4 linked regions of the Diceros bicornis minor genome follow. The protein of the gene in region 3 purifies or fractionates together with the protein of the main gene of each other region. This does not show direct contact. Links are inferred from orthologs where the notes say so. Each region holds a gene or a part of one and is shown on either strand. Other genes may lie near its edges. The genes, in order: TOP2A, JUN, PARP1 and RPA1.

Region 1 (7,154 bases), on a different chromosome or scaffold from region 3:
CTTTCCCACTATCCCACTCCTGAAATAGGAGCCAAAAGGAGAAAAACTTAAACGTTTTCCAACATCTGGGTAGACACTGATAATGTTGAAAAAATATGAAGTTTTAAAATGTTGGGATAAACAAAGGGAAATGATTTATGCCCAATGGAAAGAAAAGGACAAAATTTGGAAACAATATTATTATACCGCTTTTAGGAGGATCATCTGTACTGTCCTGGCTCCCCTAGCTTTTCCATCCTACAAAGCACATTGCAAAACAAATATGAAAGGGAAAAACATTATCAACTGTAACCTTCCCTGCTTGCCAATAAAATGCTAAACATTTACTTGGACTTATTCATCTCTTATTTTAAGTTAATTTTCAGAAGATAATATATAAAATGGTTCTTATTCTAAGTAGTACTTAGTATTATCTATAAAAAAGACTAAAACTAGCTCATTATTTTTTAAGACAATGATATCGAGTCCTTAAGAGCATTTAAGTACATCATTAACACCTACATTTCCCAAAAAAAGCCTTAAGTATAGTTTATGTTATAATTGATCAGGCCAATAAAAAGGTGAAACAAGGATGCTGACCACGCACAAAAGGACACCCAATATTTATAAGCTGAAACATTAGATCAAATTATTCTGTCACCACCTGCTGGTTTACTATTTGAATAGCATCAGGAGAAAAAGATCTAGACCCCAGAATACTTACAGCAATTATTGGAGATGCTTACTGAAGTATTTAGGGATGATGTGGGATAATGTCTGTAATATATTTTTAAATGCTTCAGAAAAAATATAGATGGGGCAAATATAGCAGAGTGTTGATAACTGTTGAAACTAGGTGGTAGGTATCGTAGATTGTCCATTTTAGCATTTAGCCTTTCTGTGCTTTTGCAAACTTTCATTTAAAAAAAGCCAACCTCGGGCCGGCCCCGTGGCTTAGCGGTTAAGTGCGCGCGCTCCGCTGCTGGCGGCCTGGGTTCAGATCCCGGGCGCGCACTGACGCACCGCTTCTCCGGCCATGCTGAGGCCGTGTCCCACATACAGCAACTGGAAGGATGTGCAGCTATGACATACAACTATCTACTGGGGCTTTGGGGGGCGGGGGGAATAAATAAATAAATAAAATAAAAAATAAAATTAAAAAAGCCAACCTCATTAAAAATCAAGTAAATGCAACTAACAGTAACAATGAGCTATAACAAACAAAAGACCAAGAGACTTACGGGTCAATCGTGACTCTAATACAAGACATTTTTGGGTCCCTTTGTTTGTTGTCTGCAGCATTGACTGAAAGAAAATAAAATACACATTTGTAAGAAATTAAAGTATTTAAAAAAACATTCTTTAACTCTAAGATATAGAAAGAAGAATCTCAAATAGCACAGGAGTAGCATTAATGAGGTGTTAATTCAGCAATTTTTATTCAGAGTACTGTTCTTAGAACAGAATTCAACTTCCTAGACTTCAGTAGACTGTCTCACCTTTGCCAACTATTGTTTGAAATAACAGAAGGTCTGGCTACAGTAAGGAATATTTTTTATGAAGGATTTGACTGGTAGATCTTTATACGAAAGAATCTACTCACCTAGAATCTCATCAAAGATTTTGTATAATCCAGGAACAAAAGTGACTTCCCTATAGTTAATGCCAACATCTTCATCGTAAACCCACATTTGCTAGAAATAAGGCAAAGAAATATAGTCATTTTTACCCTATGTTTATTGTTTTATCATCATGATTACTATAAAGTGTTCTGGGGTAAATACTACAATATATATATGATAGCTTAGGCCAGTTCCAGTGACACTCAAAGTACATGAAGTGTAGAAAATTAACCTGGCAAAGTATACATTTTAACTACTTACTAACTGCATGTCATTAGCTTGGTTTTACCTGGGTCACTAATTCCACAGAGCCAATGTAGGTGTCTGGGCGGAGCAAAATATGTTCCAACTGCGTTTTCTTTTGATAGATTCTTTCAACGGACAGTCTTTTCTTAGCATCTTCATTTTTCTTTGTTTTGTTGATTTGCATATTTTCATTTACGGGCTAGCAATTAAAAAAAATTGAAGAAAAGAGATTTTTAATCATAGGTTTATCAGAAACTATAAACGAAACGTCTACCGTAATGATATGCTTGCACACACTACAACAAATTGCAATCTGTCAGTAGGTATTGGCGACGTTTACATTGTTTTGTGCAAACACGGCCTTTTAAGGTAACTGCAGCCAGGTCCCCAGGTGGCAGTTTGAATAGACACATATGATCTCACCAAGTGTATTTGACATGGAAATATTTTCCTCGGAACTTTTTATTTATCAATAAAATACACCCACTTCTTTCACCTGTGCCACAAATATTTACTAAGTGCCTCCCACGTCCCAGGCACTAACAGATTCCAGTTCAGCAGCCGTTTGGGAGGCTATCGATTCAATCCTCTGGCCAAGTTAACGTTTTGAACACTGGAAGGACATATTTTGAGCAACTCGGGCCTGCCGGCTCCTTAAGGGGAATATTGTGCCGTGCTCTGCACCCTCCAAGGTCAGAGACATTCAACGCCCTATTCAAGCGGAGGGTAGGAGAGGAAAGCATTGGTATGCGCAGCTTCAAGTCACACGCGGTCCATTGTAATTCAGATCTACTAGAGGACCAAGTGAATCCTGTCCTTAAAAACAGTAACACAAGACACAACGCCCTAGGGGCCCGTTTAGCCGCTAATGCTTCAACATTAGCACCATAAGGGGGTTTCACTTTCCTCACGATCACGCCGAGCCCGGGAGACCACGGTCGACACGGAATACCGGCTCCCAGCCCACCGCGGCCTGGCCACAGCCCAGGAGCCTCACCCCTCACCGGCAGCCAGAGATACCGCTCCACGACCCGCCTCTTCCGCGAGCTGTACCTGCAGTGGTGACACCTCCATGGTGACGGTCGGGAAGGGGCTCGAGAACCCTGCAAGAGACTAAACCGGCGGGACGCACGAGACGACCCCGGAGCCAGCGGCTTCTCCACAGACGCGCGTCGGTTAGGCGAGCTCCTGCAGTCCCATTTGAACCATCCTCCTGCCCGCCCAAACCAGATAAGCCAATCCCTGACTCGGTCTCACCGGTTCCGTCCCGAAGAACCAATCGTAGCTAGTCTTTTATATCTACCAATGAACGGCTGAGTTGGCCCAGTCGAATGAACCAATTAGGCAGGGGAGGCGGGACTAGGAGGTTTCAAAAGACACCACTCGGAGTCAATTGCTGAGAGACCGACAGGGAATCTGGCCAATGAGGAGGGCTCGTTTGTTCTCTCAGAGCAGAAAACTCTGAAGAGACAAACTGTGGAAGCGGGAAGGGGTTTTCTGAGGTGCAGGCTGGGGTGAAAAGAGGAAGGAGACGGATGTTTATTCCCCAGGAGCTGCTAACTTGTTTCAGATCCCTGAAATCTAAACGCCGTCCTCCGGCCTGAGGTTTTTAGTGAGAGGAACGGGAGCGCTATCTCCATTTTCCTGAGGAAACCGAGCGCCGGCTTCCTGGCGATTTGGTTAAGCGAACAGGATCTGACCTTTTCCTCAACCTCCCCTCCCCCCCAAGAATTTAGCGTGTTTTTAGAGAAACAAAAGTGCTACAGTTGTGGTTTTTAGTTTTCGTATAAAGAAGGGTGTAGAGAGGCCGCGCAAAATAGAGAGCAGCATTCAAGTCCCCCAGTAGAGGGGCGTTGGGCTGCAACTGCTCAATTAAAAGGAATAATTTATAGTCACCGCCTCAGGAGCTAAGGATGGTTTAGCGGCCGTTCTAGGACTGGAACTTTCCCCTCAGACTGCCAATAGGATGCCCTACCATGCGTTACTTTTGCTCTCCTCTGTGTTCAAGTCCCTGAATTCTGCGGTCCAGAACAGCGGTTGAGATTTGACGAGGAAATGCCAAAGACCGAAGTTTTTTATTACTCTGACGTGTAAATTTCGAGGGGGGTTATTCTGTCCTCGTCAATCCACAGTGTTCAAATGACCCCCCCCCCAAAAAAAAAACACGCTCTTACAAGATGCTGGAAAAAATAACCGCATAATTTGACCATCTGAACCACCTCCTTCCAATCACTATTCCGTGAGTTTTAATCCTGGCCTGGCATTTTGCCAGCCGTGTGATCTTGACGGAGGCAGCTTCTTGGTGCTTTCCTTTCTTCTGCTAAAAAAAGGAAATAAAAATAACAGTATCACCTCAGAGTTGCGTGAGGATTACACAAGATACATGTAAGACATTTAGAATAGTGGGCTAACAGTATCAGAATCAGGAAGCAGGGATTTTTCCTTAGGTTACCGTGACAATTTGTGGACTTAATTCTTTTTTTTTCTTCTCAAAGAAATCAGGGCCGGCCCCGGTGGCCTAGTGGTTAAGTTCTGCACCCTCCGCTTCTGTGGTCCAGGTTTGGTTCCTGGACGTGGACACACACCACTTGTCTGTTAGAAGCCGTGCTGTGGCGGCAGCTCACATAAAAAAGGAAAAAAAAGGGAAAGATTGGCAGCAGATGTTAGCTCAGGGCAAATCTTCCTCAGCAATAAATAAATAAATAAATAAAAGAAATCAGAGGTCAACCAATTACTGAATCACTCCAGCATGTTCAATGCCCACTCTGCTGGCAGAGCCCCAGGGAGGGCCAGGGCAGAGGTGGTGTGTTGTGACAGGTAGTCAAGGATGGAAGTAGCCCACTGGCTAGGGTAATTGGGAAAACCAAAGGAATGGAGCTTTGGCATTGCTCTGGTCCCTGTCCTCTGGTTCTCCTGGCCTCCAGTAATTCCTGAGTGTCTTCAGCTCCACTCTGCTCATCACATGTGTTGATAGGGGAAGGCAGTCTCAATGCACAGGACCACCAGGGTCTCAGAGCAGCTGTAGGGAAGCCCATCCAGTAGCGTCTGCCCATCAGAAGGCTGACCAGGCCCTGGGCTCCAGGGCCAGCCTGTCACTCTCTGCAGCTTTCCCAGGACAGAGGATGACCCTGATAGTCAGAGACCAGCTGTGCTGCCTTCTACCTCCTGGAACACAGAGGCCCCAGGTGGTAGGGGAGGGTGGGCCTGCTTCCCCAAGGATGGCAGTCCAGCCTCTGCCTCCCTTGGCTTCCCACCCTATAGCTCATCCCAGCCTGCAGCACCCTGCGAGATCTGTCTGGGGATGAGGCAACAGGAATTTAATAAGCAGCACCAGCCCTATTTCCTGGGACCCAGCTTGAAATCTCCCCTGCAGTTTAGCCTGATCCTGACTGTGTGGGTCTCTGTTCCAAAAACCCAGAAGCAGAACTGTGGAGTCAAAAGGACTTTGAGTCACATATGTCTAAGTCAGAAATCTCCCTGAGCTTCAGTTTCCCCATGTCATTAGCCTTTATCAAAGGTATAGAGGGCTAAATGAAATATGGAAGCACCCAGAACAATCTTCCAGACCTCTAGCACAGAATGTCCTTGGTGTGTGTATGTGTGTGGGATGATTGGAGGGCCCTTCTCTTGTGGGGGAACACAAGCTATTTCTCTGTCAGCCTCTCCTCCTTTCCAGAGCCTATCACAGGGAGTCCTGCAGGACTTGTAGGGGGCCACTGAAGGAAGTCTGGGATGGGCGGACCTGGGAGGCATTGTCTACAAAGAGGGAATTCCAGGTGACTGCCATTTGCTAGTGCTGGAAGGCAAGAAGGGGTCGGGAGTCAGTTCCAGGGGCTGTGGTGGGGAGAAGGGGCAGCCATCATCCTCGTTATCCCCGGCCCCTCCCACTTTCCGCCAACTCTGCAGGGGCCCAAACTAGCTACTCTGGACCTTGTCCCCATCCCTGCCCCCACTCGTAGGGGCCAAGTTCAGTAGTACTTGGGTCAGACTCTTGACTACAATACTTGGTAAATGTATGACCCTGGGCAAGTCACTGAGTCTTTCCGTGCCTTCATTTCTTCATCTAAAATGAGGATAATGAGTACCTCCACACAGGGTGAGATAACACATGTAAAGTGCTTAGTGCATTGCTTGGCGAGTTGTAAGTGCTCAAAACATGTTAGCAGTTATTACCTCTACTTTTCAAGACCTTCCTCCCACTCCCCTGTCAATTCTCCAAGTTCTTTCCTCCAAAACCGACTCAAAATTCCCCTGTCCAGGGAGTCTTCTCAGACCATCTTTTTTACTGAGGCCCCCTCAAGTCCTTCGGAGTATATTTGCATACGCAGATGAGTTCCTTTGATAAATGTTGTGTTTCCTGTCTCTCCACTCTGTGTCAGGGGAAGGGGGGTCCTGAAGGAATTGTGTCTCCATCTTCCACCTGGGAGCTCCCTTTGAAAGGGCAGTGTTTCTTCCCTCCTGCGGGCTGACTGAGCAAAGGCGGCTGGGCTGAAAGTGTGGCTCTGGATTTGGGGGATGGAGCTGGCTAGGCTGGAACTCACTGGAAATTCCTGAATGAGGCTGGGCCAGCGCCAGGGTACTGGGGTGGTTAGGGCTCTGCCAATAGGCCCTGTTTACCTTGAGGTTAATGACTGGCAGGGTCTGATCAGTCCTCTTTACTAGGGATACCAGCCTCTGGTTGGAGGAGGCCAAGAAAACCCAAAATGTCCCATAGAGCTCAGCCTCTCTCTGCTAGTGGCATTGCAGGTCTGCTCCTCAGATCACTAGTGGCCCCAGGTAAAGGGACATTGAGGGCCACCAGACAGAGCTAGGAGGAGAGCAAGGGAAGTTCTAGCAGGGATCAGCTCAGGACCAGGGATTTGTCCCCAACAAGTCCAATCAGGTGTTTCCCTCAGCAGTCTGGCAGTCCAGTATCTATCAAAATTTTAAAAGTGTACACACTTTTTGACTCAGCAATTTAACTTATAGGAATATTGATACACTCCCACAATTGTGTAAAGATATATATATACACACACACAAGGTTATTTATTGCAATATTGTTTTTTATTAGAAAAGAACTGGCAGCAATCTAATGGAATGGAAAGACATGCAGCTATTAAAGAGAATGAAGTTGATCTAGATATACTGATATGGAAATATCACTAAGATATATTGTTAAGTTTAAAAAAAGTGAGGTGAAGAATAGAATGTAGAGCATAATTGCATTAGAGTAAATGTTTATGTATTCAGTGAAAACATCTGGAAGGAATTGTAAATAGTTGGAGGAGGAGGAAAACTTTTCATATTTTCTCTTCTATTTGAAAA
Region 2 (6,574 bases), on a different chromosome or scaffold from region 3:
AGATCTGTTATTGGTATTTGAATACGTTTATTGTGACAAGGATGCTGTTATAAATATTCATAAGCAAAGACCATCTTTTTTATCTAGGAATTGTTAAAGTGAAGAGTCCAAATTGGAAAGACACATCTTTTGTAAAACTCTGCCACCGTTCCTGCTTTGAAAATAAGAATCTATTGTTAAATTTCTAATGTCAAAAATGGTCACAGCACATGCCACATGATATAATCTTTAAAGTGTCTGACTCCCCAGCGGGCTGTCCCTCTCCACCACAACCTCCCTTCCCTCAGCCTCCTGAAACCACACTACCCTTTGTAAGCAGCTCTATATAGACGCTTGGGGGAGGGAAGAGTATAACTTGATAACAGCATTAGCTACAGTTATTTCTCAAGTCCAGTAGAGAATAGTTTTTACTGCTTGATAGTAAGAAGCACTGAGAGTGATTTTAATTGACATTCTTAACTCTTTCAACTCGGCCTAGATAGCTAATCTACAGATAATGCAGAAAAGAGGTTGGGGGAGGGGTACTTTTTCAATATTTTATTGTATTTTCTTAAATATCCTTTCTGGAATTTTCAGAAACAAAACATAAAAAAATTATATACTTTATTACAAATGGTAAACTCAGAGTGCTCCAAATCTCTTATTTACAAACAACACTGGGCAGGACACCCAAACAAACAAACATGAAATAACTTACAAAGGCATGAAGCTGTTTATTGACAGTAATCAGCTTTCATCAAATTAAAAAATATATATATGTACATACACAGTTAAGGAAGGCAGGCCAGAAAGAGTTCATTTGCAGGCTCAGCCTCGCTCTCACAAACCTCCCTCCCGCCCCCCACCCCCCTTTGTGTTCTTACGGAGTACTACAGAAGCAATCTACAGTCTCTATTGCGGTTTGTAACCCCCTCCCCCTCCCCCCTTTTAATACTGAATGAGATCGAATGTTAGGTCCATGCAGTTCTTGGTCAATGTTAAAGAGAAGTCTACCGTCTGTTCGCGCGGGGACAGCCCGTTCGCAAAGCGGGGTAGCCCGCAGGCGGCCGCTCCCTGGCTCCGCGCCAAGGGAGGGCGCGCCAAGTCCTTCCCACTCGTGCACACTGGGGGCGCCGTCAGGACGCAACCCAGTCCAACTTGGATACCCTTGGCTTTAGTCCTCGGACACTTCTTTTTTCTCTCTCTCTCTCTCTCGCAACTTGTCAAGTTCTCAAGTCTGTCTCGCTGTGTTATTGTTTTTTCTCCGTTGCCCCTCAGCCCCCGACAGTCTCTCCTCAAAACGTTTGCAACTGCTGCGTTAGCATGAGTTGGCACCCGCTGTTAACGTGGTTCATGACTTTCTGTTTAAGCTGTGCCACCTGTTCCCTGAGCATGTTAGCCGTGGACGCCAGCTCCGAGTTCTGCGCTTTCAAGGTTTTCACTTTTTCCTCCAGCCGGGCGATCCTCTCCAGCTTCCTTTTCCGGCACTTGGAGGCAGCGATGCGGTTCCTCATGCGCTTCCTCTCCGCCTTGATCCGCTCCTGGGACTCCATGTCGATGGGGGACAGGGGCGGCGTCTCGCCGGGCATCTCGGGCACCGTCTGCGGCTCCTCCTTCAGGGCCTGCAGCCGCGGGTGCTGCACGGGGATCTGCTGGGGCAGGTGGTGCGGCGGCTGCGGCGGCTGCTGCTGCGGCTGGGGCTGCGCGGGAAAGGCCAGGCCGGCCGCGCCGTAGGAGGGCGCCCCGCCGCCGCTGCTCAGCGCGCCCGGGTTGAAGTTGCTGAGGTTGGCGTAGACAGGCGGCTCGCTGTGCAGGCTGGCGCTGAAGCCGCCGCTGCCGCTGCCGCCCGCCACCGAAGCCACCGCGGGAGCCACCATGCCCGCCCCGCTGACCGGCTGCGCCGCCGAAGTGACGCTGGGCAGTGTGTTCTGGCTGTGCAGTTCGGCCAAGGCGCGCACGAAGCCCTCGGCGAAGCCCTCCTGCTCATCGGTCACATTCTTGGGGCACAGGAACTGGGTGGGAGTCGGCGTGGTGGTGATGTGCCCGTTGCTGGACTGGATTATCAGGCGCTCCAGCTCGGGCGACGCCAGCTTGAGAAGCCCCACGTCGGGCGAGGTGAGGAGGTCCGAGTTCTTGGCCCGGAGGTGCGGCTTCAGGCTGCCCACCGGGTCGGCCAGATTCAGGGTCATGCTCTGCTTCAGGATCTTGGGGTTACTGTAGCCGTAGGCGCCGCTCTCGGACTGGAGGAACGAGGCGTTGAGGGCATCGTCGTAGAAGGTCGTTTCCATCTTTGCAGTCATAGAACAGCCCGTCACTTCACGTAGGGTTAGTCTGGGCTGCGCGCAGAAGTTTCGGGGCCGCAACAGTGCGCTGGCAAGCGGGGACACCCGCGCCTCCCGGGCCTTGGGCGAGGAAAGTTTCTCTAGGAGCGCGCGCACCCGCCGGCCGCCCGCGCCGCTGCGCCCGCCTCCCCGCCTCGCTCCAGGGAACGCAGGGTGAAGACGCCGCCCGCACTCTCACTCGCCGGCTCGCGCGCGCTGCCCGCCTTTGAAAAGTCGCGGTCACTCACGGAGCGCGCTCCGGCGCAGCGGTGCCTCGGGCCCGCGGACGAACTCGCTGCCCGGCGACAGCGGCGCTCCTGGCGGCGCCGATCAGCGCGGACCCCGCAGCGGCCGGCCGGCGGCGGGTCTCCGCCGCCCAACTCCGACGACCGTGCCCTCCTCCGCTGCGAGGGGGAGGGGGCGCCCGGCAGCCGCGGCTCGCGCTCGTCCAAGTTCAGCAACCGGTGCGAGCGAGGCGGAGCGCGCGTCGCCCCTCTCTCCTTTCCGCCGCCGCGGCCGCTTCAGGCGGAGGAAAGCTTTGCAAAAGTTCGCTCCGGGACCCGGGGGCCACTTGTCCCCTGTCCTCCTGGCCAGGAAAGTTCTTTGCCGCTGCAGCCCCTCTCTGGACTTCCCGGGCGACAGTCGCCGCTCTCCGCGCTGTCAGCAGCGCCCAGGCAGCGGGGCTCTCCTCCTGGGGGCGGCTGGAGAAGGGGCTCTCTGGGCGCTCCCCAAAACACCAGCCCGGGAGCCACAGGCGCTAGCTCTGGGCAGTTGGTGAGGAAATGGAGAAGAAAGTGAGATGTGCGGGGCGGACTCCAGCGCCGTCCCGACTGCCCGTCTCGCCGAGTCCACGCACGCCACTCCCGCCGCCCTGGTTCAGCCACACTCAGTGCAACTCTGAGCCCTTAACCAGCCCCAGCTCAACACTTATCTGCTACCAGTCAACCCCTAAAAATAGCCCATGATGTCACCCCAAGGCCTTCCCATTGGCTCGCGTCGCTCTCAGGGGGGCGGGCCCGCCCGTCGCCATGGAGACCCCACCCTAGAAGATTCTTCTCTGGCCCGCGGAGGCTCACGGGATGAGGTAATGCTCCGCTGCCCTCCTACAGTTGGGCCCTTCTTTCTCCTCCTCCCCCTCCCCCTCCCGCCGGCTCGCGCCCTCTCCCCCCCTCCCCGGTGCCCCTCCCCCGGCGCGTCTTTCCCGGCCCGCCCGGTGCATTGTGGGCTGACGTCTTGGGGTTTGACTGACTGTGACGGTGGCTGCCGCGCGAGGGGCGGACGCGGCGCTCGCAGCCTCGGATGGAGGCGGGCTGAAGTTCAGGGCTCCGGGCGGGGGTGCCGGGGGTGCGGGGACCCGAAGGCTGGGGACGGGCCAGGTGTCGGGGCCCCGGTGTCACCCATGAGCACCTGGGCGCCGCGCGGGCCGGGAGGCTGAGGCCTGGGCCCGTCCCCCGCACTTCCGGGGCGGGAGCACGCCCTTAAGGGGTCTCTTCAGTCCCGGTGGGGATGGGCGCGAGAAGGCGGGCTCCCGTTCCGGGCGGCCTCGCGAGGGCGGCCCTGCGAGGGCGGACCCCCGCGTTGAGACGCTCGGGAGTTTGTCCCCCGGTCAAGTTCACGGGCGGCCGTCCGGCTGCGCCCGGGAGCCGGCGGTGTGCACGGCTCGAAACTGGGTGCCGGCGCAGTCCCGCCGCACCCCCGACTGCGGGGAGAGGGTGCGGGGTCGCGGCGTTGCCTCCAGAGCAGGCTTGTCATGGGGGTGGAATTAGGGGCACCTCTGCGTTCAGCTGGGAATGAGAGTTGAGGGAATCCGAAACTCGGGGAACCCCGGCGAGCATCTGCTCCCTTCCCCCGCACAGCGCGCACACACGCACACACACTCCTCACGCCCCGATTTGCTTCCGGGAAAACAACTCCGAGGGCGGCGGACGCCCGCCAGAGTCCCGCCGGGGCCGGGGTAGAACCAGGATTGAGAGTCTCCCCGTTCCGGCCCGGAGGTGGGCCCGTATGCTGTGTAGCCTCTAGGATGCGCTAGACACATGGAAGTGGTTCCTCTTCTGTGCTTTTTACTTTATCCTCCCCCACCCCGTACCCCATAGGGACAGAAGTGTATAGTGGAAAGCATCCCGAGGCCGGGAGTCGTGGATTCTGTCGCGGCCCGCGCTGCCACGGTGTGAAGGGAGCAAATCCCCGAACTTCTGGGAGCTTCAGTTCCTTCCTCTGCCGGGGGGCCGGTGAGCTCCACCTCACTGGGCTGAGCTAGTGTAGTATCGCCTCCCGGGCTAGCCGGTGGTCCACAGACCGCCCCTTCCCTGCCCGCCCTCGGAGTTTCCCAGAGCCTCAGTGGAATGCCAGGACGTGCGAGTGTGATCTGGAAGGACCAGGTGTACTTCCTCCTGGGAGGAGGAAAGGGGCAGAAGTCAGCTCTTTCCTGGGCTTTCCGTCGAGGACTGCGGCTTGAAGCTGGACTTGGAGCAGCTTACGTCCTTAAGTTCTAGTGCTGCTTTTCCGCTTCAGAACGTGGGGCAATCCTTGGATTCATAGCCGCAAGCCTTAAGGTGTTTGTGGCTTTGAGAGTTGAGAATCAGCAGCCCTACAGCAGCAGCAGCGTCAGGGAAGTCTTGAGCACTTTTCTTCACTCCTGGCGCTCCCCTCTCGCCTGGGACAGCAGAGGAAAACCCTAGTGGCTCCTGTGAGCCAGGCCCTGAGCTGGGGTGGGGGTGAGGGCGGGAACGGGATACAGTGATGACAAGATCCAGTTACTTCCCTCAAAGAGGGAGCATTCTGTATACTGTTGCCCTGAATCATTTTCTTTTGTAATCAGGGAGCTGATGTTCTTAATAACTTTTATGATAGCAGTAACAAAAATACATTTCATGTATTAAACACCTACTATCAGCCAGGCATTCGCCTGCAATTTATGCCATTTCTCCCCACAACTGTCTTGGAGTTAACATATGAGGAAGTAGGCCCACAGATGTTAAGTATCTTGCTCAGGTCACACAGGGAGCTGGAAATTGAAGTTGGGTCTGTTACCTTCCCTTGTTGTATCTTCTCTGCTCTGGGAGATTTTCTTGTAAAGTATTAGTTGTCTGCAGAAGAAATGGCGCTTAGATGGTAGGATAGAAGAAATTGTCTTGCCTGAACCTCCGTAACTCCTTTCAGGGCCTCCTTTCAGAGCTCCTGTATTTAGAAACTTCAGGATTTAGGCTTTGTATAAATATATATCTTTTGCCTAAGGGTTCTGTGTGTTCCTCTCTGCCTTATGCGGTTTAGTAGGCTGATTTTCTCCTTATGTTGAGAAATAGCATATTTCATTCCAAAAAATAACAGATCTGTTCATGTTAACGCCCCTGCTTGGAAGCCTCCACTGGCTTCCCCATACAACCAGGAGAGAGTTCAGATGCCTTTGCCTGGGAGAAGGGGCCTTTCACAGTCCGGCTCCTGCTCTCCAGCCTCATTTCTGGCTTCCAGTATGTCAGGAAAGGCTGGGTTATGCTGCCCTAACAAGCAGGCCTCACACCTCAGTGGCTTACCCCAGGGAAGTTTATTTCTTGCTCATGCTGCATGCCCACTGTGGGTCTGCAGAGGAGTTCTGCTCGCTGTGGTCCCTCGAGGGCTCCAGCTGAAGAAGGCTGCCTCCTGACGCACGCTTCTCATTACTGTCTTGGCTTGGGGGAGAGAAGGGTGGCAGATCCTTCAAGGGCTCTTAAAGCATCCACCTGGAAGTGACACACTACACTTTTGCTCATGTATCACTGGCCAGAGCAAGTCAGGTGGCCATGCCTAACTTTACCCCTCTGTAATCTTGCCAAGTATCTCAAAGGGAGAGAGCCAGGAATATTTGGGGAACAACACAGATGACTCTTAGCAGTCCCCTTTCTGTTCACCAAATGTTTGGCTTACCATCCTCCCACAGGCAAGTTCCCTCATTCTTTCCTCAAGGGGGACACTAAAGACTCATCTAGACTCATCTACTCTAAAAACTCTAAAGACTCATCTAGTCACAGGGTATTGAGGACTTTTCAGGTCCGTGTGATGCGTAGTAGACTCTACATCTAAAGGCAAGATATCCACCCTGCACGCCCTCAATATGTGATGGTGGGAGAGAGACAGGATAATGCAATGGACACACGGTTTGGAAAGTGAAGGAATGGGAGACCACAGTAGACACTAGTCCACTGAGCAGACATGTGGAGGACCCCTACCCAACACCCTGATTAGACCCTGATTCTGCTCCCTGAGTGTAGCTGCCCTATCCATTGTTTTCCATGACC
Region 3 (7,444 bases):
TGTGCGGTAACAAACTCACCCCAATTTTGATTTATAGATTGACTATGGATTATTTGCGTCACCAGCCCCCAACCATGGGGCAGTGCCAAGCAGCAGAGGTGTACTCATAGCACAGGCTTGGGGCACTGTAAGGGCCCCCATTCTCTCTCGAGAGGAAAGAATCCTTGACCAAAGCAAAGCTTTACCCTAGAACTTAGGACTCAGGATGACATGGCAGGAAGGGAACCAGACCAAGGTCACAAGACTGCTTGGCAGCCGCACAGCTCAAGCATGGCAGAATCTTTGGCTGTGTAATCAGCAAACACTTAGAACCTACCCCGTAACAGCGTCCTCACTCAGCTGCCCTGTCTGCTTCCTTCTGCGTAAAACAGGACACACCACTGCCCGCCTACCCAACAGAGAGCAGAATGACTGTCACCTCCCTGTATGTGACCACGCTGGGTGCCTGAAGCCCTCCCAAGACAGAACAACACAGGAGCCCACCACAACCCCCTCCCAGTCCAAAGGCTGGAAGTCCCGTCCCCTTGAGGCTGCCCCCGGGCAAGCCAGTTAAAGTATCACGTATTTGATACTCAAGAGAACAATCCTCCCATACAAATGCAAAAGAAGGTATTTAAATCCAAGTAGGAGAAGAATGGCTTCTTTATTTCTGGCCTCTGCCAGCTCAGCAAACAAAACCAACATTACTTTCTGGATTAAAACTCCACCCCCACCAACTATTACAGAAAACCACACTTACTTTTAATAATAATTTCTTTCTCTATCAAGTATGCCAAACGAGGGCCCGGAATGTTAAACTTCATTTGGTTCAGGAGTCGGTTCCTCAATGGGGCCATCCCCGACTCCCCCAGACACAGCTAGCCCTCCTCTCTACAGTGCCCTTCCTGCCTCTACACACTGGCTGGATATGGGGTTTCTGTCTGTCCTTCTCAATAGAACAGGGTTCTCTTGGGCTGTCTGGTGAAACCTATGCATGTCCCTTCCTTGGATAACACTTAAAAATGCATAACAAAATACACAGGTTCACCAAGGAAACCAAATATACTGAAACAGTTATCAAAACATTTAAAAAGCTTACTGGGATACAGTAATCCACGAGCTTTAAAGCATTAAATAAAGAGATCTAGCACCCGCTGTAATACCTACTGTAATTCTGAAGTAGTGATGAGCATAAATGATATTTTGGGAAACTCCCAACAAACGTAAAATGATATGAAAATATCTGTAATTACTGTTGATGACAAAAATCAAGGTACTGCTATTAGGCCTTTGCTTTGCTGCTTACATTCATAACTGGAGGAAATAATGAATTGAATCTAGACATTAGTGACCATAGGGATGTAAATTTATCATCTAAACTCAGGGACCTCTTGAGTTCTATCCGCCATCCCAGACTCCAGGTTAGGAGCCCCCTGCACTAGGAGGGAGCTTCGTAAGGTCAGGCCGCCCATACACTCAGGGTCAAGTTCAAAGATGCTTAGTGGGAGACACGGCTCTTCAAGTGGTAGGCCTCGCCTGCTTCTCCATCCTCAACTTCCTGCCACTGGGACTAATGACTTCTAATCAAGCTCCCATCCTGGGCACACAATGCCTAATGCACAGCTCCATCAGGTGGCACCCACCCAGGTACAGCAGTGTTCATCAGTCACCTTCCCTTTAACAAAACTGGAAGCTGCCAAAGGTGGAGTCTCTCTTTGTGCCTCTGGTACCTGACACAGTGCCTGGAACCCAACAGGCGCTCAGTGAGTGTTCACGGAATGAGTACTGTGTGCCGAGTACTGAGCTAGGTTGGCCCTGAGGATACCGAGATGGCAGCCTCAGTCCCTAACACATTACAAAATGAGATACCCTAAGTACTCGGTACCCACTCTCTTCCACCTCGTAAGTGGAAATCCAGAGAGGGCTGTCCAGCCATTCCTAAAACATGCTACTGCCCTCCTGCAGGGAGGGAAAACCAAGCCATCTTGACCCTATGCACCAAGTCTGGATAACAGACAGCTTTAAGCTGGAGGAGGAGATGACAGAGCAGATGAGAACCAAGATTACACCGGCAGACAGGAGCAGGCTGGAAGCTGGAGGAGGCAGGGACCCCTCAGCGTCAGCAGGGGCCTTCAGACACAGCTCACAGCCCACCCAGCAACCCACTAGCCATCTCTGAAGCCTCAGGGAACACGGGGCAGGGGGGATCCCCAATGTGTCAAGAGGCCCAGGTGAGGAATCCCGGAGCCCCTCTTACTCAAACCAGATAGCTGCAAATGCATCAAGAAGAAAATGCGTCTGTGAACCTGGAAAGTTTGGGGAAAATGTTATTTTCAACCACAAATTAGGCCAAAAGTCAATGCCCTGTACAGAAATGACACCGACTTGTGTGGTTTTGCATAATTAAAAAAAAAATGAGAGTGAGTCGAAGTTGAAAGAGCCAAAAATAGATATATAAAAAAAATCCTCCCGCGCCAGTCGCCACCATCAATGTAGGACAAAAAAATCTTCCAGGACAAGGTAGGTCAAAACCTGACTAGGTTCCAAAGACCGTGCACACATTTTCTCCCCCCGAGGCGAAGGGCAATGAAAAAACCAGAACTCCACCCCCCAGAAATATAAATAGAAACCGCTCCTTGTTTTTACAAACCGAAGGGGTCCACGAGCTCAAGAATGCATTTCCCGGGCTTTTCCTGCAAGATCAGCAAAAGCTTGCGGGAGGGTCCGCCCGGCGGGCCACGCGGGGGAGGAGGGGCAGCGGCGCCCACAGGCCCGGGCCGCCGCTCCGCTCCGCGCAAGCCCTGCCCCCTCCCCGGCCACGCGGAGGCCCCCGCCGCGCACAAAGCGGCCCTCCGCCCGCACCTGCACCATGATGGCCATCCGGAGCGAGTCCTTGGGGATGCTCTCGCTGCATTTCTTGCAAGAGGCGCGCCCGCTCTTGGCGTACTCGACCCGGTAGAGCTTGTCCGAGGCCTCCGCCATCCTCCCGGTCCTCGCGCCGCCGCAGCCGCGGGAGCCCGACGCCGCGCCCCGGAGCCCCGCCGCTGCCGCCGCTGCCCGCCCCGCGTGCGCGCGCGCCCGTCCGCCCCCCGCCGGCGCCCGAGCTCGCAGCGCCGCCGCCGCGCACGCCGCGCACGCCCCCGCCGCTCCGGGTAGATTGCTGATGCCTGGCCCGCCGCGGGAACGCCCCCCGCGCGCGCGTCCACGGGGCGGGGCCCCGGCGCGCGCCCCCTGCCGGCCCTGGCGTGCCGCCTCCCCGGCGCCTGCGGCTGCGCGCAGAGCCGGGCAGGCCGCGCGCGAGGAGGTCTCGGAGGGACCTGGTGGCGCCTGCTTAACCGTTTCGTCGCCAGCAAGGCTTGCGTGCTCTCACAACTAATTCCACCTCCATCCCTTTTAATAAGTGTGTCCTTTCTCCCCGGAGCGCGCCCAGGTCTGGAAGGCGCGCGGCTGGCCCGGGAATGTGGTTGCTCTGCTAGAGAGGGGTCAACGCTGGCTGACCCTCGGCGGGGGTTCTAACTACAGTCCGCAGACCTTCCCGACCGAGTACGAACTGAGCTCTAGCATCTCCTTCACTGTGAATTTTAAATGCATGGATGCAAATCCTGGGAGTATTAGCAGTACCTGTGACTATGTCGGCAGTAGTCATCACAGAGGTTTTCATGGCCCTTTACAGTTGTTGGAGAGAACTCAAAATATTAAGTTCATCGTTACTTGCAATTGCTGTCGTTACTACACCGTCTGGTACTAGATCTCGTTATTTAGTGTAGAACTATGTTTTTATATAACTGGTTTCTTTTTTTTAACCCTATGCATTGTATTTTATTCATTTAAAACATTATAACGGAGAGTGCTGTGTTTGAGAATATTCAGTTCTGCTATAGAGGACAAGAAAAGGAAACGGGATGAATGAGACTCATAAAACCTGTTAAGCATAGAGAAGAAGAAAGCTAGTAGCTTAAGAGACTTGGGTGTGGAGTAGGCAAGTGGGTTATGAGACACAGGCAGAATCCTAAATTCATGACCTGTTAGATATGTCGAAGGTAAATAGAATAGGTGGAATATATGATGGTACAAATAAGAATTTTACTTAGAGAGTAACCAAATCAAAAGGCATGATCATCCCACGTCTGGGTTGACAACTATGTCATCCCTAAAAGGCCTCTCATTGGTGATAACATTATGGTCCCGTTCTGGCTCCGTCTGATTTGCGCAAGAGTTACAGATAAAACCCATGTCTGTTCAGCAGGCTGACTGACAAACTACATCCATGTCCAGGCGTACTTGCCCCTGTGTCTCTCTGATAGGTGACTGTGAAGTGGCTCCAGGTACCCTCTATTGAGTAGCCTTGAGCGTCCTCAGCTCTGGTCTTCGTGACCCCATCATCAGGGGGGCTGGCTGATGCAGCAGAGAGAGAGAGACAGAACATATGGACATTCAGGTGGTATGGTCCTTCCGCCTGCCTGTTCCCTGTCCTGTGTGTGTTATCTGCCCCATGCTGTTCCCTTTGCTGCAGGAACTTTAAATCAGGTGTTTCAGGTGATTCAATAAACCTGTAATTCAAGCGTCTTAATTTGGTCTGTGAGGCTTTCTGTTTTGTGACTTCCGGGACAGCTTGCCTGATAGCGTATCTGGAAGCTACCATCGCATTAGAATTTCTTAGACCTCACTGCACCCGCAATGGGGTCCTGGGCAAACACACACAAGATTAGGAATACCTGGGTAGAATTTTAGGGAGAGCCAGCCATATCTTACTGCCTAGTCAATACTTCTGTTTGGGTGTCATATATGCTTCTCCAACAATGTCCAAAATCTCCCCAGTGCTTCCCATCTCAGGAAATGGTCCACGATTCTCCACATTGTGTAGGTCAAATGCTTTAGAGTCGACTTGACTCCTTTTCTCTTCCGTCCCACATCCAATCCATCACCGAATCCTGACTTTCCGACTTCAATCATTTCTCACCTCCTTCCCATCAGCACTGCTGTGGAGTGCCATCATCTTTTGCGGTTCCTCCACAGTCTCCTGCCTGGTCTCCTTCCAGGCCAGCCCTCCTACAGTCTTTTCTTCCCGTGAAAACACATGAGGTCGCTTTAGATCTCAACCCGTATTATTTCCATGTTCAAAACCCTCCAAACGCTTCTCCTCATACTGGGAATAAAATCCAAAGTTCTTCCTGCGGCTGAATCTGAACCCTGGTCACTTCTCTGATATCATCATCACCCTCTCCCCAGGGCTCCTGCTGCCCCAGCCACACTGGCCTCCTGCCTGGTCCTCAGACACCCCAAGCCCACTCCCACCCCAGAGCCTTTGCATTTATTTTTTCTGGAACAGTCTTCACCCAGCGAGCACACAGCTCACTTCCTCTCTTGATTCAGCTTCTGCTCACACGTTACCATGACCACTCCAGCTAAGATGCTTAGTCTCTGCACACTGTCTTTATCTTCTTGTCTTACTTTATATTCTTCTTTCTACTTCTTACTCCTAACAGCGTATTTTATACATATGCATGTGTTTATTGTCTGTCTCCCTCACCAGCATGCAAGCTCCTCCAGGGCAGGGGTTTATCTGTTCTGCTCTCTGTACTAGCCTCAGTGCCTGGCACAGTGCCAAGCATTCAAAAATATTTGTTGAATGAATGAATGAATCACACCTTTGACACTTCCTCTGCACAGCCCAATTGTTTAATAATAACGGTACTTCACACTTATATAGATTTTTGTATTTTATAAAGGGCATTCATAAACATAAGTTTGTTTGCTCCTCATTATAATGCTATGAAATAGGTTACTTTAAAAACTAATAAATGACTGTATTTACTTAGAAGCATTCAGATTGTCCACAAAACAGCTGTAACTTTTTATCCCCCAATTTCAGAGTGGTATTCAGTTAACAGAACAACAATTATTTCATACAAGCTGCGTGAGAGACAATTGAAGTTGATAAAACTACCATGCCCATGTATAACAGATTAGTTAATCTGTACTGTGCACCAACGAGAACCTGCTTTGAACTCCTAACCCGCATACTATATCCCCGGTGAGGTTGGTGGCTATTGAAAATACCACCAGGTCAGGGTTGTCTAAAGAATTACTTGGTAATTCTTGTTAACAATATCAAAAAAACCACAACAGTTTAAAAACATATCTTATACAGCTTTATCTTTCAATTTTTATTCTTTAAAGGAATGAATTATGGAGGTTAAATGCTTAATGGACAAGAAAGAGAAAGAAAAGCTGACCTAGAACCACCTTATTCTTCATCATCATCGTCTTCAACTCTGTCGTCTCCATCTTTCTCCTCCTCATCCTCCTCTCCTTCTCTGTCTTTCTCCTCTACCTTTTTTTCTAGTTGTGAGCAGCCTTGACAGCATCCTTTTGTGCCACATCAGCTTTCCTTTAGCTCAGGATGCAGCAAGATCCTTCCTTCTGCTGAACGGCCTTCTCAGGCTGCTTGCCATCTGCAGCGCTGTGGCTCATGTCTCTCCCAGGTTCTTTTTTTTTGTTTTTGTTTTTGTTTTTTTTTGTGGGGAGGACTAGCCCTGAGCTAACATCTGATGCCAATCCTCCCCTTTTTTCTTGAGGAAGATTGGCCCTGGGCTAACATCCGTGCCAATCCTCCTCTACTTTATATGGGACGCTGCCACAGCATGGCTTAGCAAGCAGTGCGTCAGTGCGCACCCAGGATGGGAACCTGCGAACCCCAAACCGCTGCAGCAGAGCACGTGCACTTAACCTCTGTGCCACTGGGAGGGCCCTCTCCCAGGATCTTTACATCATTGCCTACGGGCAGGCCAGGATCCCCTTTGATTCTTGGCCGATCCTTGGAACACACTGAGGAAACGGCCAAAGGAGTCCTTTTGGGTGCATTGGAAACCCTGAATTTTTTGTTTCTGCTTTAGAAGGGATACAAGTTTTCATTCTACAAGGGCTCTTGTCCACTCTTGACGTGTCTCCAATTTCCTTTCTCTTTATCGGACAAGGCTTTCCATTTTTCTGACCATTTTAAAGAACATCCTGAGAAGCTGACTGAAACGTCTGGATGTTTTTTCCTGTGCTCCTTCTGGCAAGTTTGCGCAGAATGCCTGTGATGACATTTTGCCTCTAGGCTTCTTAGGGTCTCCTTTGCCTGTGCTTAGTTATTTTTCCTCAGCGAGGCACAGAGTGGCCCAGTGCCCATCAGCTCTCACTTGCCTTGGCAATGTCTCTAGGTAGGTGTTTTTAAATCCCAGTTTTCAGATAAGAACATGAAGCTGGAAAGGTCTAGGGACTTGCCCATTAAGCCTTGTCTGCTTCCTCTCCTGACCCTTCCAATCCCTCCCACTGCCATTGTCTTCACCACTTCTCCCCTCAGCATTATTCTTCTCTCCCTTTTCCAACACATCCATTGCCAAAGTTTTTTTTTTTTTTTTAATAAATTTGATTATGACTTCTACCCTGCTCAAAACCCTCTGTTGAACTCCTGTATTAA
Region 4 (7,924 bases), on a different chromosome or scaffold from region 3:
GGTGAACTTAACCAGTTTCATGGCTCAAAATGCCATGTACAACGCCCAGATTTACATCTCTAGCCCAGGCCTTTCTCTTGAACTCCACGACCACTTGGACATCTCCACTCGGACGTCTCATAGACATCTCAAACTGAAATATGAACCCCAGATCTTCCTTCCTCAAATAGCTCCTTCTGCAGCCTTCCCAAGTGACGGTAATTTCATCCTTCTACCTTTGGCCCTTTAGGCCTAAATCCCTAGAGTCATGTTTTACTTCTCTCATTTTCTAACACACCATATCCCATCCATCAGGAAATGCTATTAAGTCTATCATCAGAATCCAACCACTTCTCATCACTCCCCCACTACTACCACCCTGGTCCAAGTTACCATCACCTCCTCTCTCACCTACATTCATGCAGTAGCCTCCCAACAGGTCTCTTTATTTCCACTCTTGCTCCAGCTATAGTCTATCATCACCACAGTGGTCAGGGCAATCCTTTAAAACAGGGGTCAGCAAATGTTCTGTAGAAAGCCAGAGAGTAAATATTTAGGCTTTGTGGGCTAAGAGGTAAAATTGAGGCTATTACATAGGTACTTCTATAAAAAATAAGGAAACACATTTGTAAAAACTTTTTATTGACAAAATTCAAAATATAATAATAATTGAGTATAATATTTTTATAATACAGGTCTACTAATGAGAAAAACGGAATTCTTTTTTTTAAAAAATAGATATCAATTTGCTTAACTGGAGTTCAAAGCCAGTGTTCCCTAACATCAAATCAACCACAAACGTTTCTCTGTAAAAACCATTCTTAGTTGATGGCCATACAAAAACAGGCAGTGGATGGATTTACTACACAGGCTGTAGTTTGCTGACCTCTGCTTTAAAAGATAATCAGATCATATCACTCTTCTCTTAAAACCCTGTGAATTAGTTTTCTATTGTTACGTAACAAATCAGCACAAATTCAGCAGGTTAAAACAACACCCATTGACTATCCTCACAGTTCTGTAGATCAGAAGTCCAGGCAGGCTTGACTGGGTTCTCTGCTTAGGGTCTCACAAGGCTAATCAAGGTGACCACTTACACGGAGGATCTGGGAAAGAATCCTCTTTTAAGCTCATTCAGGATGTTGACAGAAGCCAGTTCTTTGTAACTGTGGGTCTGAGGTCCCCATCTCCTTGTTGGCTATTAGCCAGAAAGCACTCTCAGCTTCTAGAGGCTGCCTGCATTCTTGTCATGTGGTCCCCTCCGTCTTTAATGTCAGCAAAAGCACATTCAAATCTCCTGCTTTGAATCTCTCTGATTTCCCTTTCCACTACCAGCTGGAAAAAATTCTCTGCTTTTAAAGGTCTCATCAGACTGGGTTAGGCCCACCCAGATAACTGTATCTCAAGGTCAATTTATTTAGGATTTTCATTACATCTGCAAAATCCCTTCACAGCAGCACTTAGGTTAATGTTAGATTGAATAACCAGGGGACAAGAATGCCGTGGGCCACCTTTAGAAATCTGCCTACGATACCTTGCAATAACTTCCTCCTCAGAGTAAAAAGACAAGGCACTTACAAGGGCCAACACGATTTGTGCTACCTGCTTTCCCCGAGCCCCTGTGCATGTCCTATTACCTCTCTGATGTTATTTCCCCCTACTCTCCCTCTGGCTTACTCTGTTCATCCACACTAGCCTTCCTGCTGTTCTTGAACATGCCAGACACTCTCTCACCTTAGGATCTCCACCTGGAACGCTCTTCTCTCAGATATCTACTTTGTTAACGCCTGTATCTCCAAGACTTAGCTCAACTTTCACTTTTTCAATGAGGCCTATCGGACCAGACTATTTAATACTACAACCCGCACTCTTGCTCTTAGCACTGTCTGTTTCCCCTACCCTGTTCTTTTTTTTCCTTCTGTACTTATCACCTTTAACACGTTATATACTTAACTTATTTATGATGTTTATTGTCTGTTCCTCCTCGCTAGAATTAACCTCTCAAAGGTAAGGATCTTTGTCTATTTTTTGTTTACTGATGTATTTTTTTGTTCACTAAACATATAGCACAGTGGCTGGCACAAAATAGGTGATCAACAAAAATTTACTGAATCAAGTTTTGGGAAACTCCTGTTTCAGTTTTCTACATATGTATATGTGTACTAGGTTGTGATGCAAAGTGTATTTCTTACTGAGGAGTGTAGTCAAGAGAGTTTGAAAACTACTGGGATTAGACTATATGACCTCTAAGGTCCTGTCAAATTTGAGCGCTTATGAATTTCTACGTGCAGCTAATAAATCTCCGCTATATCCTTTGGGATATGGCAGGGCTCACAGCCTAGTGACTATAGCAAGGCATGATTATTGAAACATTGTACTGACACTGAAAAAGCTAAATAGCATCCCTACCTGTTCTATAACAGTAGGTTAGAAAACACTGATAATAGCAAGAACTGCTGAATGCCCCCAAATATAAAAATCTGAGCTTAATCCTTCCATTAAAAAGAGATATAACTTGGGGCCGGCCCGTGGCGTAGTGGTTAAGTGCGCGTGCTCCACTGCTGGCGGCCCGGGTTCAGATCCCAGGCGTGCACAGACGCATCGCTTGTCAGGCCATGCTGTGGTAGCATCCCACATAAAATGGAGGAAGATGGGCACAGATGTTAGCTCAGGGCCAGTCTTCCTCAGCAAAAAGAAAAAGAAAAAAAAAAAAGAGGAGGATTGGCATGGATGCTAGCCCAGGGCTGATCTGCCTCACAAAAAAAAAAAAAAAAAGAGATATAACTTGAAAGCAAATGACAAAAGAGAACATTTTGCAGATCAAAATTTCCCTGGTTAAAGCTTCCACTCATGGGGCCAGCCCCGTGGCTTGGCAGTTAAGTACGCATGCTCTACTGCTGGTGGCCTGGGTTCAAATCCCGGGTGCGCACCGAGGCACCGCTTCTCCGGCCATGCTGAGGCCGAGTCCCACATACAGCAACTAGAAGGATGTGCAGCTATGACATACAACTATCCACTGGGGCTTTGGGGAAAAAAATAAATAAATAAAATCTTAAAAAAAAAAAAAAAAAAAGCTTCCCCTCACTTACTGAAGAAGCGAAGAGGAGTGAAGAAAAATATCTCTCACAGTCTCTGCTGTAGAAATTGTGACCTGAGTCGACATCGGGAGCAAAGACCACTTCTGAAGGACATACGATTTCCACTCATCCACGGGCAGATCCATGTTACTTTAGATCTATAAAACGAATAAGAAAATGAGGAATTCAATTTGTACAAATGCACAATTCTAGTCAAGATTTCATTTAAGCCAGCATGAAGCAACAAAATCAATTCTCGTGGTCTTTTTCTATAGCTGTTTATATGCTGAGGAAGGATCTATATTCTCTCACACCAATTCACTCAACATCCTTTCATTCAGAAATATTTACCGAAAGCCTACTTTGTTCTAGGCACCACTAGGTGATCAGCTAGCCACGATCTGTCCTCTTAGCCCTCCATCTACCCTAGGCTCAAGTCAGAAACCTGAGAGACATCCCGATTTTCCTTTCTCACTCTGCCCAGCAACTATTAAGTAAATATCTCTCTCTAGTTCGGTTTTTTCTTATCCCTAGGTCATTCCTTTAGTTCAAGCCCTCACTATCTCTTGTCTGGCATTCTTTCTAGAGTGTCATAACTAGTCTCCATGCCCTCAGTAACACCCTCCCCCCATTCAATCCATCTTCCACAGTGAGGCAGATGTCAGTCCTTTGCCTTAAATTCATCAATAGCTCCTCCTAGCACAGGGAAGCCAAGTACAAATCCCTCATTATTTGACCCTTGCCTTACTTTTTTTTGTGAGGAAAATCTGCCCTGAGCTAACATCCATGCCAATCCTTCTCTTTTTGCTGAGAAGACCAGCTCTGAGTTAACATCTATTCCCAATCCTCCTCCTTTTTTTTTCCCTTTTTCTCCCCAAAGCCCCAGTAGATAGTTGTATGTCATAGTTGCACATCCTTCTAGTTGCTGTATGTGGGATGTCACCTCAGCATGGCCACACAAGCATTTCGTGGGTGCTCGCCAGGGATCCGAACCTGGGCCCACCAGTAGGAGAGCACGGGCACTTAACACGGGCCGGCCGGACCCTTGCCTTACTTTCTAATGCTCAAGTCTCACTTCTTCCTCTGTATCCTACTATCCTGAGCTACTCAAAGCTATCCCCAGCTTGCCAGGCTGTTCATCTGCCTAGTTTTTGCATAAACTATTCATGCTTCCGGGAGCATCCCTACCCTCACTTGCAGTCCAGCTGGCAAATTTCCACACATCTTTCAAGACTCAGTGCAAATGACAACTCCTCCGGGAAGCCTTCCCTGATTTTCCATCCGTGATCACAGCACACTGTCTCTCTCTCCTGGGGCCCATACCCCGTCTACCTTGAGTTACGGCTACTCACAGCGGAAACTCCTGGACAGACTGTGCTCTCTGAAAGCAGGGACCGGGTCTTATTTACCTTCAGAGCCCCCCACTGTGCCAAGCGCAGGGTCTGGCACCGGCGGGAGCTCAGCACCGGGCTGCTGAAGGAATCAAGTCACTGCTTCGACGACATTTAGCAGCAGAGTTATCAGGGAGCAGCACTAATTCTCTGGGCTACCTGTCGGTCTGCCCGCCAAAGACTGAGCCGGTCTGTTTCCGAAACCCAGCTCGGAAAGCTCCCGGAACTGGCCACCCGCGCGCTTCGCTGCGTCCGCGTCACCGTCGGCGCGCCCGGCGGCCTGGCGCCCCGCCCCCGGGCCCCGCCATCCTGCGACCAGGCCCCCAACCTGGGCACGGGCGGATCACCTAGGCCGCCCGCCGCGCCTCGGCCAATGAGAGGGCTGCTCGGCCCCTAGGCCCGCCCCTGCGCCGTGCGCACGCCGGGAGGCGGGAGCGGCGCACGCAGCGCCTCGGGCCAATTGCTTTGGAGCGTGGGGTCCCCGGGGAGTGAAGTGCGGGCTGCGCAGAAGCCGGAGCGCGGGAGTTGGCGCGTTGGAGCCATGGTGGGGTACCTGAGCGAGGGGGCCATTGCGGTGAGAAGACGGCCGCGAGCCGGGCCGGCGGGCTAGGGTGGCTCTGCGGGTGGAGAAGGGGGAGAGGAGCTGGGGGCCGTGGGGAGAGAACGCGAGAGGAGGAGACAGCGGGCGCGGGATGCGGGGGGGAACCGCCGGCTGACTCCCTAGAATCACACGGTTTTTCCTATCGTCTTGTAAACATGCTCATGTTTTTCCTGCTTAAGAAAACGAAGCAAAATAAACTGTTGATTTTCCATCTCCCTCCCGCGCCCTCTGTCTCCTCCCCTTCCTCCGCCCACGGCCAAACTTCTGCAGACTTGTCTGTTTTCAGCTATTTCATGTCGTCATCTCCCATTAACGCTTTAACCGACTGTAGTCGGTCCCTTCTAGGATCACATAGAAGTAACCTTGGCTGAAGGTAGCAGTCCCTCCAAGTCGCTAAATCCAATAGACAGGTTTCGGTTTTCAGTTTACCAGCGTTCTCAGCAGCGTTTGAGTCTCTTGAGTATTCTTTCTTTCTGATAACACCCTCTACTGTTGGCTTTTGTGGCTCAGGTGGGCTGGTCTTTCCCAGTCTTATTTGCAGGTCCCTCTTTGTAAATTTCTGTTGACTCATGGCTGTTCTCTAGGCTCTATTCTCCCAGGACAACCTCATTACCATCCATATGTCAATTGCTCACTAATGTCTTTGTCCGGAGCCACCTTTACTCTGAAAGACAAACCTTTGTAATCTGTCTGCCTACCTGATATCTCAAAGGCATTTTAAATTCAACATGTCGCAAAGCAAATACATTATCTTCCTAAGTTTGGGCCTCTGATCCCCAGCTGGATGAATGGCACCATTATCCGTTAAGTTATGCTAGCCAGAAATTGTGGAATCATTCTTCCTACAAACTCCATCAGCCTGAGGTCCAGTCCATCACCAAGTCCGGTGTGTTTTACTACATGTATCTCTTAAATCCATCTACTTCTCTCCATCGACATTGACACCATCGTTTCTGGCCTGGACTACTCACTTCCATCCGGCATAATCATCCTCCTGCCATTCCCATCATAGCATATTCCCACTTGTTCTCTCCTCCTTTCCAGGCTTTTTTTTTTTATTTAAGTTCCTGGTATATTCCATACTCTTGCTTTCCACAGGGCCTTTGACCATTCTTTTCCCTCTGCCTACTGCCTAGGTGGCTCTTTAGTCTCCCTTCAGTGGCTAACATAATCTTCATATCTCAGCTCAGTTACTTCTCAGAGAAACCTTCTTTGACTTCCCTTGCTAGGCTAAATCCCTTTATTTTGAGACCCTAATTCCTGTTTGTTCACTTATTAGCTGTTATGATTTTGGGCAGGATACTAAACTCTGCCTTTCCTCTTCTGTAAAATGAGACTAATGATACCTAGTACTTCTTGCCTAAGGTTAGTGGGAGGATTAAGTGAGCACTTACATTTAAAGTGCTTAGTCCCTGTCTGATACAGAGTAAATGCTCAGTATATGTTGCCTATTATTAATAATCACAGATGTAATTTTACATTTATTTGTTTATTTGATTAATAACAGTTACTTTCTGTCTCCCCCCCAATTGTAAATTCTTTGAGGCCTGAAATTATGCCTGTGGTTTTGCTCAACATAGTCTCTCCAGTACCTGGAGCAGTGCTGGCAAGTTTGAGGTGCCCAGTAAATGTTGTCTAGGTGCCTATGAGGCAGTGAAAAGAAAGGGGCAGAGATGGATGGGGAAGAACAGTTGGCAGAGTCGAGTGAATATTTGAGTAAATTAGGAATAATTAGTCCTGAGAAGTGATTGCGAATTGTAGTCCTCATTTACTTTACAGCTGCTACCTTATGTCTTGAAGACAAATTAGGAATTGTTCTTCACTTTTAAAAAGAAGGATCCTGGTGTTATTTAAATAATTTGATTAGTTTTTGCTATATTCAAAATTTTGGAAACATTTCCAGTGTTAGGTGAAGTATTACTTAGGTTTTATTTATAAATGACCAAGAAAATTTTTGTGTTTGTGGTGACGGAGTGTGGAGAACCCTTGTCAATTTTGATTACCGGCTAAAGCAAGTAGTGTCATTTCAGTTCAAAAGACACAGGCCTGAAAGGATAAGCAACTAACACAAATAGTAGAGGCATTTGGGGCAAGAGCTAACATCATGAAATAAGAGATTATGCATGGAACTATTGTGGTAAATAGAATAAAGAGCATTTGTCTCGTAAGTAATCGGTAATATAAAGAAAGGGGAAGAGAACTAATTTTTGACCATTTCCAGTGTGCCAGATACTTTATAGTAGTCACTATTTACAGTAACACTGTAAGGTAGAATTTTATCATTACCCTCGTCTTACAGATGAAGAAATTAAAGTGCAAAGAAGGTAAATAATTTGTCAGTGGGGTGAGGATTTGAACGCATGTGCCCTTGACTATTACATTCTTTTGCTTTGTATTTCTGTTAGCAATGTTAGTTTGGGAAAGTTAAGGCAGTTTTGTCTCAAGTGTACATATCATGCTATATGTCCTAGAAGAGTAAATCTTATATTCACTATTAATGATGACACAAATTAAAAAGAATAATAAAGTAATACTTGCATGCGGTTTTCAAATCAAATAGAACAGAAAGGTGTTTGATGAAGTTACTGACCCACTGCCCCACCTTGCCCCAGTTCTGTTCCCTAGAAACAGCTACTTTTTAAAATCATGTTTATTGAAGTTCAGTTTGATTTACCTGTAATAAAAACTATAATACATATGATGAATACATATAATAAAAACTCATCAAACTGTGTGCAGTTTGTTGTATATACTCCTGTAACCACACCACCCCAGTCTCCTGCTGCTTCCCCATCCCCTGCTCATTCCCAGGCACCACTGCTCTGGGTTCTGGTGTCTATCTCTTTAAGTTAGTTTTGACTGTTCTAAAACTTCAT

Evidence for each region.
Region 1: the proteins of PARP1 (region 3) and TOP2A purify together in Homo sapiens (co-immunoprecipitation; 3 studies listed by BioGRID and IntAct, with this or other methods). This does not show direct contact. The link is inferred for Diceros bicornis minor from reciprocal best matches to the Homo sapiens genes PARP1 and TOP2A.
Region 2: the proteins of PARP1 (region 3) and JUN purify together in Homo sapiens (co-immunoprecipitation; 3 studies listed by BioGRID and IntAct, with this or other methods). This does not show direct contact. The link is inferred for Diceros bicornis minor from reciprocal best matches to the Homo sapiens genes PARP1 and JUN.
Region 4: the proteins of PARP1 (region 3) and RPA1 purify together in Homo sapiens (affinity purification with mass spectrometry; 3 studies listed by BioGRID, with this or other methods). This does not show direct contact. The link is inferred for Diceros bicornis minor from reciprocal best matches to the Homo sapiens genes PARP1 and RPA1.

What each region holds. Positions count from the first base shown.
Region 1 is NC_080757.1:39,912,618-39,919,771, forward strand, and holds the start of TOP2A (DNA topoisomerase 2-alpha), read right to left. Parts: upstream 3,018-7,154; 5' UTR 2,922-3,017; coding exon 2,901-2,921; intron 2,047-2,900; coding exon 1,891-2,046; intron 1,674-1,890; coding exon 1,583-1,673; intron 1,285-1,582; coding exon 1,221-1,284; intron 1-1,220. UniProt on the Homo sapiens protein: Key decatenating enzyme that alters DNA topology by binding to two double-stranded DNA molecules, generating a double-stranded break in one of the strands, passing the intact strand through the broken strand, and religating the broken strand.
Region 2 is NC_080752.1:20,478,450-20,485,023, forward strand, and holds JUN (transcription factor Jun), read right to left. Parts: upstream 2,494-6,574; 5' UTR 2,280-2,493; coding exon 1,275-2,279; 3' UTR 523-1,274; downstream 1-522. UniProt on the Homo sapiens protein: Transcription factor that recognizes and binds to the AP-1 consensus motif 5'-TGA[GC]TCA-3'.
Region 3 is NC_080777.1:7,605,054-7,612,497, reverse strand, and holds the start of PARP1 (poly [ADP-ribose] polymerase 1), read right to left. Parts: upstream 3,011-7,444; 5' UTR 2,962-3,010; coding exon 2,842-2,961; intron 1-2,841. UniProt on the Homo sapiens protein: Poly-ADP-ribosyltransferase that mediates poly-ADP-ribosylation of proteins and plays a key role in DNA repair.
Region 4 is NC_080757.1:15,951,102-15,959,025, reverse strand, and holds the start of RPA1 (replication protein A 70 kDa DNA-binding subunit), read left to right. Parts: upstream 1-4,912; 5' UTR 4,913-4,988; coding exon 4,989-5,021; intron 5,022-5,410; exon of another isoform or gene 5,411-5,488; intron 5,489-7,924. Other genes in the region: SMYD4 (SET and MYND domain-containing protein 4), read right to left, coding at 3,069-3,202. UniProt on the Homo sapiens protein: As part of the heterotrimeric replication protein A complex (RPA/RP-A), binds and stabilizes single-stranded DNA intermediates that form during DNA replication or upon DNA stress.